2 linked regions of the Stegostoma tigrinum genome follow. The protein of the gene in region 1 interacts with the protein of each later gene in a pairwise test. Links are inferred from orthologs where the notes say so. Each region holds a gene or a part of one and is shown in the gene's direction. Other genes may lie near its edges.

Evidence for each region.
Region 2: the proteins of rad54b (region 1) and RIB43A-like with coiled-coils protein 2 interact in a two-hybrid assay, tested with the Homo sapiens proteins (2 studies listed by BioGRID and IntAct). The two-hybrid records come from large-scale screens. The link is inferred for Stegostoma tigrinum from reciprocal best matches to the Homo sapiens genes RAD54B and RIBC2.

Annotation. Positions count from the first base shown.
Region 1 is NC_081358.1:91,296,302-91,300,227, reverse strand, and holds the start of rad54b (DNA repair and recombination protein RAD54B), read left to right. Parts: upstream 1-1,072; 5' UTR 1,073-1,381; coding exon 1,382-1,501; intron 1,502-3,926. UniProt on the Homo sapiens protein: Involved in DNA repair and mitotic recombination. May play an active role in recombination processes in concert with other members of the RAD52 epistasis group.
Region 2 is NC_081371.1:20,081,674-20,085,599, reverse strand, and holds the start of RIB43A-like with coiled-coils protein 2, read left to right. Parts: upstream 1-1,633; 5' UTR 1,634-1,816; coding exon 1,817-1,933; intron 1,934-2,739; coding exon 2,740-2,821; intron 2,822-3,926. Other genes in the region: structural maintenance of chromosomes protein 1B-like, read right to left, coding at 784-798, 1,331-1,439. UniProt on the Homo sapiens protein: Microtubule inner protein (MIP) part of the dynein-decorated doublet microtubules (DMTs) in cilia axoneme, which is required for motile cilia beating.

The DNA of each region.
Region 1 (3,926 bases):
GGATTATTTGAAGAGAAATAGTGTGCAAGGTTATGAGGAAAATGCAGGAAATTAGCATTTAGGTAATGATGCTCAATTGAAGAGCTGGTAGAGGCATGATTGGCCAGATCTGTAACAATTCTGTGATACTACCCCCAACACATTTGGTTCTTACAAAGTAGCCTAACATGTAGTACTTTATCAAATACCTTTTGAAAATCCAAATATATTACATCCACTGGTTCCCCTTTATCCAACCTGCTTGTTACCTCATAGAATAGAATCATAGAATTGCTACAGTACAGATTGAGACCTTTCAGCTGATCAAACCTGCACCAACCATCTGAAGTTCATCCACCCCACTACTCTACTCCAGAACCCTGCATTTACCATAGCCAATCCACCTAGGCTGCACATCTTTGGATTGTCAGAGGCAACCGATGCACCCAGTGGAAACCCAAGCAGTCACGGGGAGAATGCGCAAACTCCACACAGTCGCCCAAAGTTGGGATTGAACCCATGTTCCTGGCATTGCGAGGCAACAGTGCTAACCACTGAGCTATTGTACCACCCAAGATGGAAGATGGAAACACGTAAAAATTTCTTCTCTCAGACGATCATTAATATTTGGAGTCCCTTTGATAGAGAGTAGTGGAAACTGCATCTTTGAACATGTTCCAATTAGAGCTTGATCCACAAGGGAATCAAATATTATGGATGAGGGTGCTGACAAGGGAAAGTGGAGTTTTGGCCATGATGAGATCAGCCATATTTGTACTGAATTGTGGAGCGTACACGATGGCCAAAACGGAGTATTGCTACTTGTATTTCTTATTATTCTATGGCACAGTGGCCAGTCCTTAAACCACAGCGTGTCCCCAGTGAGAATTTGGAATGACTGCCCCAAATTTACACATGAAATTCTGGGTGGTATGTGCCTGTTCACAACACTCAGTCGTTATTGTGTTCCAGGGTTGGTGAACTAAGTTGGTCGATCTCCAGCAGCAGCAGTTATTTGTTATCTTGGTGCAAGTGACTGGGAATGAAACACACCATCTCCTTTCCCGACATGCTTAGAATTGCAAAGGCAGATCCCAGGGAGCAGAGGTAATGGTAAACAGTGCAAAGCATGATATTTCGGAGCATTAGTATGCAATGCCTTGGTGGATTTGAGAAAGTATTTTAATGTAAAAGCAAATTTCGCGCGGGCGAAGCGCGAGCGCAGCACATGCGCATTGCGTTGCACGGCTGCACCCTCGGAAGCGGGAAACATGAAGTGATCGAGAGGTGATATTTTATTATCATCCACCGGGAGATCGGCCCTACCTGTAACTGCGGGGTTAGATCATGTCCATACGGCTAGATACTTCTCTCCTGAAGGCCGGAGTAACAGGCGACTGAAATGCGGAGGTCTTCAGCTCCGAGTCAGCTCAGTGGCAACGCAGCTAAAAAGTTCAAGTTTATCCCTCCCAGGAGCGGGGGGCCTGGTTCGGCAACCGCCAGTCTCCCGGCAACGAGTGAGGTACAATCTAAATTAAGTTTAAAAATAAAATGTGCCAGGTATCGCATTTTGAGTTTGTCGATCACCTGTCACAATGCCTTATTACTGAGACTGTTCCTGATGTGTATGTAAATTGCCTATATGTAACTGTCTGTATAAATTTAATTTCCGTCATTCTGACCGGGGAGCACCACAGGCAGTTTACTGTGTATCTTATAAAATCGAAAGAATAATTGTGAGTTTATGAAGACCCCCAAGATATCACCGTGCTGCTTTCTGTCGTCCTGCTATATGTGTAGCTCCCTGGAAAGAATAATTTATCCAGTTTTCGTTGTGGGTGCAGAGACACCACATTTGTTTTCCAAGTTAGGAAGAGAAGGTAACCAAAGTTGTTTTCTTAAAAAAATATATATATATATATTCAATTAGTATTCAGTAGGCTTTGTTTTTGGTGATGACAGACTTAAGCCTTGTTTCTGGAGCTTCCTCCCCGAACCCCATCATGGTCTTCAAGTTTGCTGCCTTAACTTCAAGGGATGTAAACATGACTCTTTGTTGCCGATAACTGATGCAGCCATTCATTACAGGACCTACCAGGAGCACGTTGTTGGGTCAGGCAATACTGCCAAACTGCTTACTCTTTAATGATCATTCTTGAATGTAAAGTTAATTTCAGGCTTATTTTCTCCACTACAAACTTTCTTAAATGCCTCACTCCCAATGATAAGTAGGAGACATTCAAGATCTGCCTTGTCTCTAAAGTTGAAACTGGCTGTTAGGAGAAGTGAGTACCCTTATCAAGGTATCATTTGACTCAGAATAGCATCAAGGTGCTTCAGCTAAACTGAATTTGACGAAAATCCACTAGTTTAAGATATACCAACACAGATTGTGGTTGTTAGAAATCACCTCAGTCCCAGGATATTGCTGCAGCAGTTTCTCAAAGTTGTGTCCTAGGTCGACCAACTTCTCACCTGTGTTATCAATAACTTTCCATTCAAATCTTGAGCTGAAAAGGTCACAAATTTCAATTCATCACAAATTTAAGAAAGTTTCAGCGGAGGCCTCTTATTGCTGTTAAATGATCTATTTGACCTTGGACTTGCCCCAGGCCAAGTGACTCCCTATGCAGATATAGAGTGTTTCTTTCAGTTTTTCATTCAAGCCCACACGTCGATTGGCTATCGTACTCCAACATCAGTTTGAAAGTCAATTGTTCGCTGACTGATGTTCAGCACCACTGAGACAGGTGCTGAAGCACTCCGTGTCCATATACACCACAAACATAGAAGTTTTTAGGCTTGGGCTGATAAAATGGTAAACAGAATGGTAATTTTTGCCACAGAAGTCGCAAATGATTTACCTCCGGCAAGTGAGACAATCTTCCTTGAAGATTTTAATGACATTCTCATAGTTAAATTTGTCACCATCATCAGCACAGAGGTAATCACGAAGCAGAAGCCTTAACATATAAGTACAGTGGCTGCAAGAGCAGGTCAGATGCTGGAAATGTTGTGATGAATGACTCCTTACTCTCCAAAACATAACCACCATCTACAATACACAAGTCAGGAGTACGTCAGAATAGTCTTCACTTACCTGGATGAGTGCAGATCCAGGGAAGATCAAAGATTAACAACATTCGGGATATAGCAGCTTGCCCAATCAGCACCTCAGCCATCACTTTAATCATTTGCTCCCTCTACACTGGCTCATGGTGGCAGCAGTGTGTACTACGTACAAGAAGCTCTACCAAAATTAATCTAGGCTCCTGTAACACCATTTTCTAAATTGGCAACCTTTTCCATTGAGCATTAGATACATGGGAACAACACCGCTTAGAAGTTTTTCTCTGAGTTCACGCAGTGCTGACTTGGATCACAATTTCCATTCATTAATGGGTCAAAATGCTTAGTATTTCTTTGAAAGTGCTATGGTGTACCTACATGAGGTGGACCACTTTTTTTTTCATTCTTTCATGAGATGTTGGTGTTGCAGGTTAGGCCCGCATTTATTACCCATGTAGTGAGCTGCCTTCTTGATTCGCTGTAGTCTATTTCGGGTAGGTACAACCACAATGATGTTAGGGATTGAGTTCTAGAATTTTTACCCAGCAACACTGGAGGAATGTTGATTTTTCTTGTCATGTTTACCGAGATACAGTGAAAAGCTTTGTTTATGAGCAGTGCAAATAGATCACAGCAAACAAAGGATGTACAGATCTAAAAGACTTTGAGGCATACCGGTTATGTTGCAGATTACATTATTTGTGGCAAGAGTCCATTCAACAGTCTGATAATGGCCGGAAAGAAGCAGTTCCTGAACCTGCTTGTGCATTTGTTCAGGCTTCTGTACCTTCTGCTTGACGAAAGAGGTTGTAAGAGGTCATTACCAGGTCGTGATAGGTCTTTCATTATGTTGGTTGCCTTTCTGTGACAGTAAGTCG
Region 2 (3,926 bases), on another chromosome or scaffold:
CATCCCCCTACAACCCACTTAATCTATACATCCCTGAACACTGAAAAATTTAGCATGGCCAACCCACCTACCCTGCACATCTTTGGACTATGGGAGGAAACTGGAACACCTGGAGAAAATGCATGCAGGCACGGGTAGAATGCGCATACTCCATACAGACAGTTGCCAAAGGGAGGCATCCAACCCGGGTACCTGGCAGTGTGAGGCATTAGTGGTGACCACTCAGCCACTGTGCTGCCCAGATTCCTGTGTTATCCTCATTACTTGCCTTCCAATATAGTTTTGCTCCATCCGCAAACCTGCCAGGAGTACATTCATTTCTATCAAACAAATCATTAATATGCATTGTAAATAGTTGTGGCCCAAGCACTGATCTCTGTAGGACTCACTAGTTAGGTCGCCAACCTGAAAATAGCTCATTTATCCCAACACTCTATCTTTTGTTAGTTAGCTTTGCTCTACCCATAATCAGCCATCTCATTTAGCTGGTCAGCTGGTTTGTGATGCAGAGCAATGCCAACAGTGTGGATTCAATTCCCTCAGGTCACTTGGAATAACTCTCCTTCTCAATTTTCCCCTTACTAGAGTTATGATTACTCTAGGTTAAACTACCACCAATCATTACTCTCTCTGAGAAAGCAGCCCTATGATATAGTATTTATCCATCTTATACCCACAACAGTAATGGGCTCCTGTCTTACTAAGTAGCTTTATGTGCAGCACCTTATCAAATGCTTTTTGGAAATCAAAATATATTACATCAACTGGTTCACCTGTATCTACCTTGCTTGTTACCTTCTCAAAGAACTACAGTAAATTTATCAGATATAATTTCATCTTCATAAAACCATGCTGACTCTGCTCTATTATGTTTCTAAATGCTCAACCATTACTTCTTTTACATTAACCACTAATATTTTCCCAAGGACAGATGTTCAGCCAACCAGCCTATTGTTACCCATTTTGTCTCCTTTTTGAACATGGGTATTACACTAGCATTTTTCCAATTGCCTTGGGATTTATCCAGAATCTATGGATTCTTTTATGCCTTACAGTTACCTTCCTTAAAATTCCAAGATGCAACCCATCAGGTCCAGGGAACTGGTCTGCCTTTAGCCCCATTTGTTCCCCAATACATTTCATGGGCAAATGATGCCCAATGAGGAAACTGACTAGTTCTCCTAGTTTTGCTTGTGTGTGTGATTTCAAATACCAAACGTCAATACAGATGAGTCACTCTGAGAGGTGGGCGGGCGACGAAAGCTTTATCGGTAAGGAGCGAGTTTTGTGGAAGGCCTTCCCTGAGAATGTGAAGGATAGTGTTTCTGACCTGATCCATTTGGTCCGATGATGCAGTTAAACCGCATGAAGGGCCCGATCAATTGTCGGCCCCGCCACGACTTGAAATTTTCAACTTCAATTAATTGTAAAGTTCCCATTCCTAAAGTCTAATGTTTAAGAGGTAGTTGTGTCGGCCTCTATAGTGATGGCCTCTCCGTTCCCGTCGAAAGACGCCAAAAATTGTCCTTAACACAACTTCTTCAACCGCCGCAGAATACACAACACCTATGACACCAGATTGCCGCCAAACAGAGATCTCGCGATACTCTCCAGAAATCCCGTAACCGTTGCCCGATCGCCTAGCAACTGTTCTGTTTATCTCTTTTGTGGGGCCGGAAAATACTTAACGGAAGGAACTTTGCTTGACTCGTACTGTTGAAGACAATAATTTGTCACTGGTTTATTTGCTCTTCAAGGTCTTTTTTAATTTCATATATACTTAGCTTTCAGGTTATGAGAAGAACAAAACTGGAAAATGCAGAAACTGGGTGGCCCGTTTGATTTGAAAGAGGCTGAGATTATAGCGAGACGAAGAAACTTGGAATTGCAGAGGCAGAACAGGATTTTTAATGCCAGACTCAGAACAATTGGGGTAAATGCGCCATTTAGTATAATTTTACTGCGGATTTTAGTCCGGAGTTTATACTCATGTGTGATTAGAATTTTATAATATCAGGAAATAAGATGACGCATCAATAAACTTGGAAATAGTGGTATGCAGTTTAAACAAAACGTGTACTATTTATCTAGTCATTCGCGAAGTAGTATTGGAAATTAAAATAAAAGGTGCCTTCATTTCTCAAACTGCTTGGAACATTGTCCACATATTGAAGTACAACTATTCCTAACTTACTGACGTGTAAGAATAATGTCATCTATGCAACTACTAAACCTGACTTACTTTTGTACGCAAGCATTTGGAAGGTAGAGAAGGCGTTTGATGGAATATAAAATCAATCAACTTTTCATCAGGTTTTAAAAGTAAAGAATTATAAAGAAATATTTGCATAAAGATTAATAATTCATATTAAAAGAAACCACATAGCAAAACCTTTCTCTTTTGCCTCTGATTTGGCTTTTTTTAAGCATTTATTACTGGTAAATACTATTTATTTTATTGGATCATGAGCATTGTTCTTAAGACCATATTTATTTGACATCCCTAACTGCCTTGAGAAAGTGAGCAGCTGTAGCCCATATTCACCAATAGTGCTGTAAGAGAAAAAATTCCAGGAGCTAATATCAAAAATGGAAATTGGTTTATACATAATGAAGTATTACTTTTACAATGAACATTATTCCTGTTTTCATAGTGAGCATGATCCACAGAAATAGAGAAGTAGACTGAAAGAACTTAAGTATTTTTAAAATGTATACTGATCAGTTTTGTTTTAGTAGATTGATCAACAGGCATTGGATGGCCAAATCAAAGATAAGAAAATTCAGGAAGAGACAGAGGCTAGAAAACATTTAGCCTATGGTAAGTTATTTTGAATTCTGATAAATGGGAACATAATTTAAGGTAATGCATAAACTTGCATATTAGGACACAAAAAATGCTGTCAACTGTCTGTTCAAATACTTGCAAGTGTTTGATGATGGGAGAGACATTAAATGAATATTTTGCATCACATTTTACTGTGGAGAAAGAAATGGAGGCTACAGAATGCAGGGAAATAATATTGCTGTTTTGAAAACAGTTCAAATTACAGAAAAGGATGTGCTAGAGGCATCAGAAAATGTAAAGGTGGAGAAATCTCTGGAATTTAGTGTATCTCAGGATATTGCGGGAGGTTAGAGAGGAAATTGCAGGGCCCCTTGCAGTAATATTTGTATCATTAATAACTACAGGTGGGGTGCTGGATGACTGGACAGTGGCTAATGTCGTGCCTTTGTGTTCTTTTTATTCATTCATGGAAATGAAGGTGTCACTGGCCAGACAGCATTTATTGCCCATCTGTATTTGCACAGAGGGCAGTTAAGCGTCAACCATATTGCTGTGGGTCTGGAGTCACACGTAGGCCAGACCAGGTAAGGATGGCCGTTTCCTTCCCTAATAGACACTAGTGAACCAGTTGGGTTTTTCCTGACAGTCAGCAATGGCTTTATAATATTCATTGCAGTCCTAATTCCAGATATTTATTGATTTCAAATTCCACCATCTGCCATGGTGGGATTCGAATCTGGTCTCCAGAACATTATTTCGGTCTCTGGATTAACTGTACAGCCATAATACCACTAGGCCATCACCTCCCCCTGTATAATGTAAGTCTGGGGTAGAGCTTTCAGTCTGACTTCAGAGGTGGGTAAGTTGTTGGAGGTGATTCTGAAGAATAGGATTTGTATGTATTTGGTGAGGCAAGGAATGATTAGGGATGGTCAGCATTGTTTTTTTTGAGGGAAATCATGCCTCACAAAATTGGATGAGTTTTTTGAGGAAGTAACCAAAGAATTGATCAAGCAGAATGGTAGACTTAGACTTTGCTTAGACTTTAGTAAAGTCTTTGACAAAGTTCCAAATGGTGGACTAATCAGTAAAGTTAGATCATATGGAATTCAGGGTGAGCTTGCCAATTGGATACAAA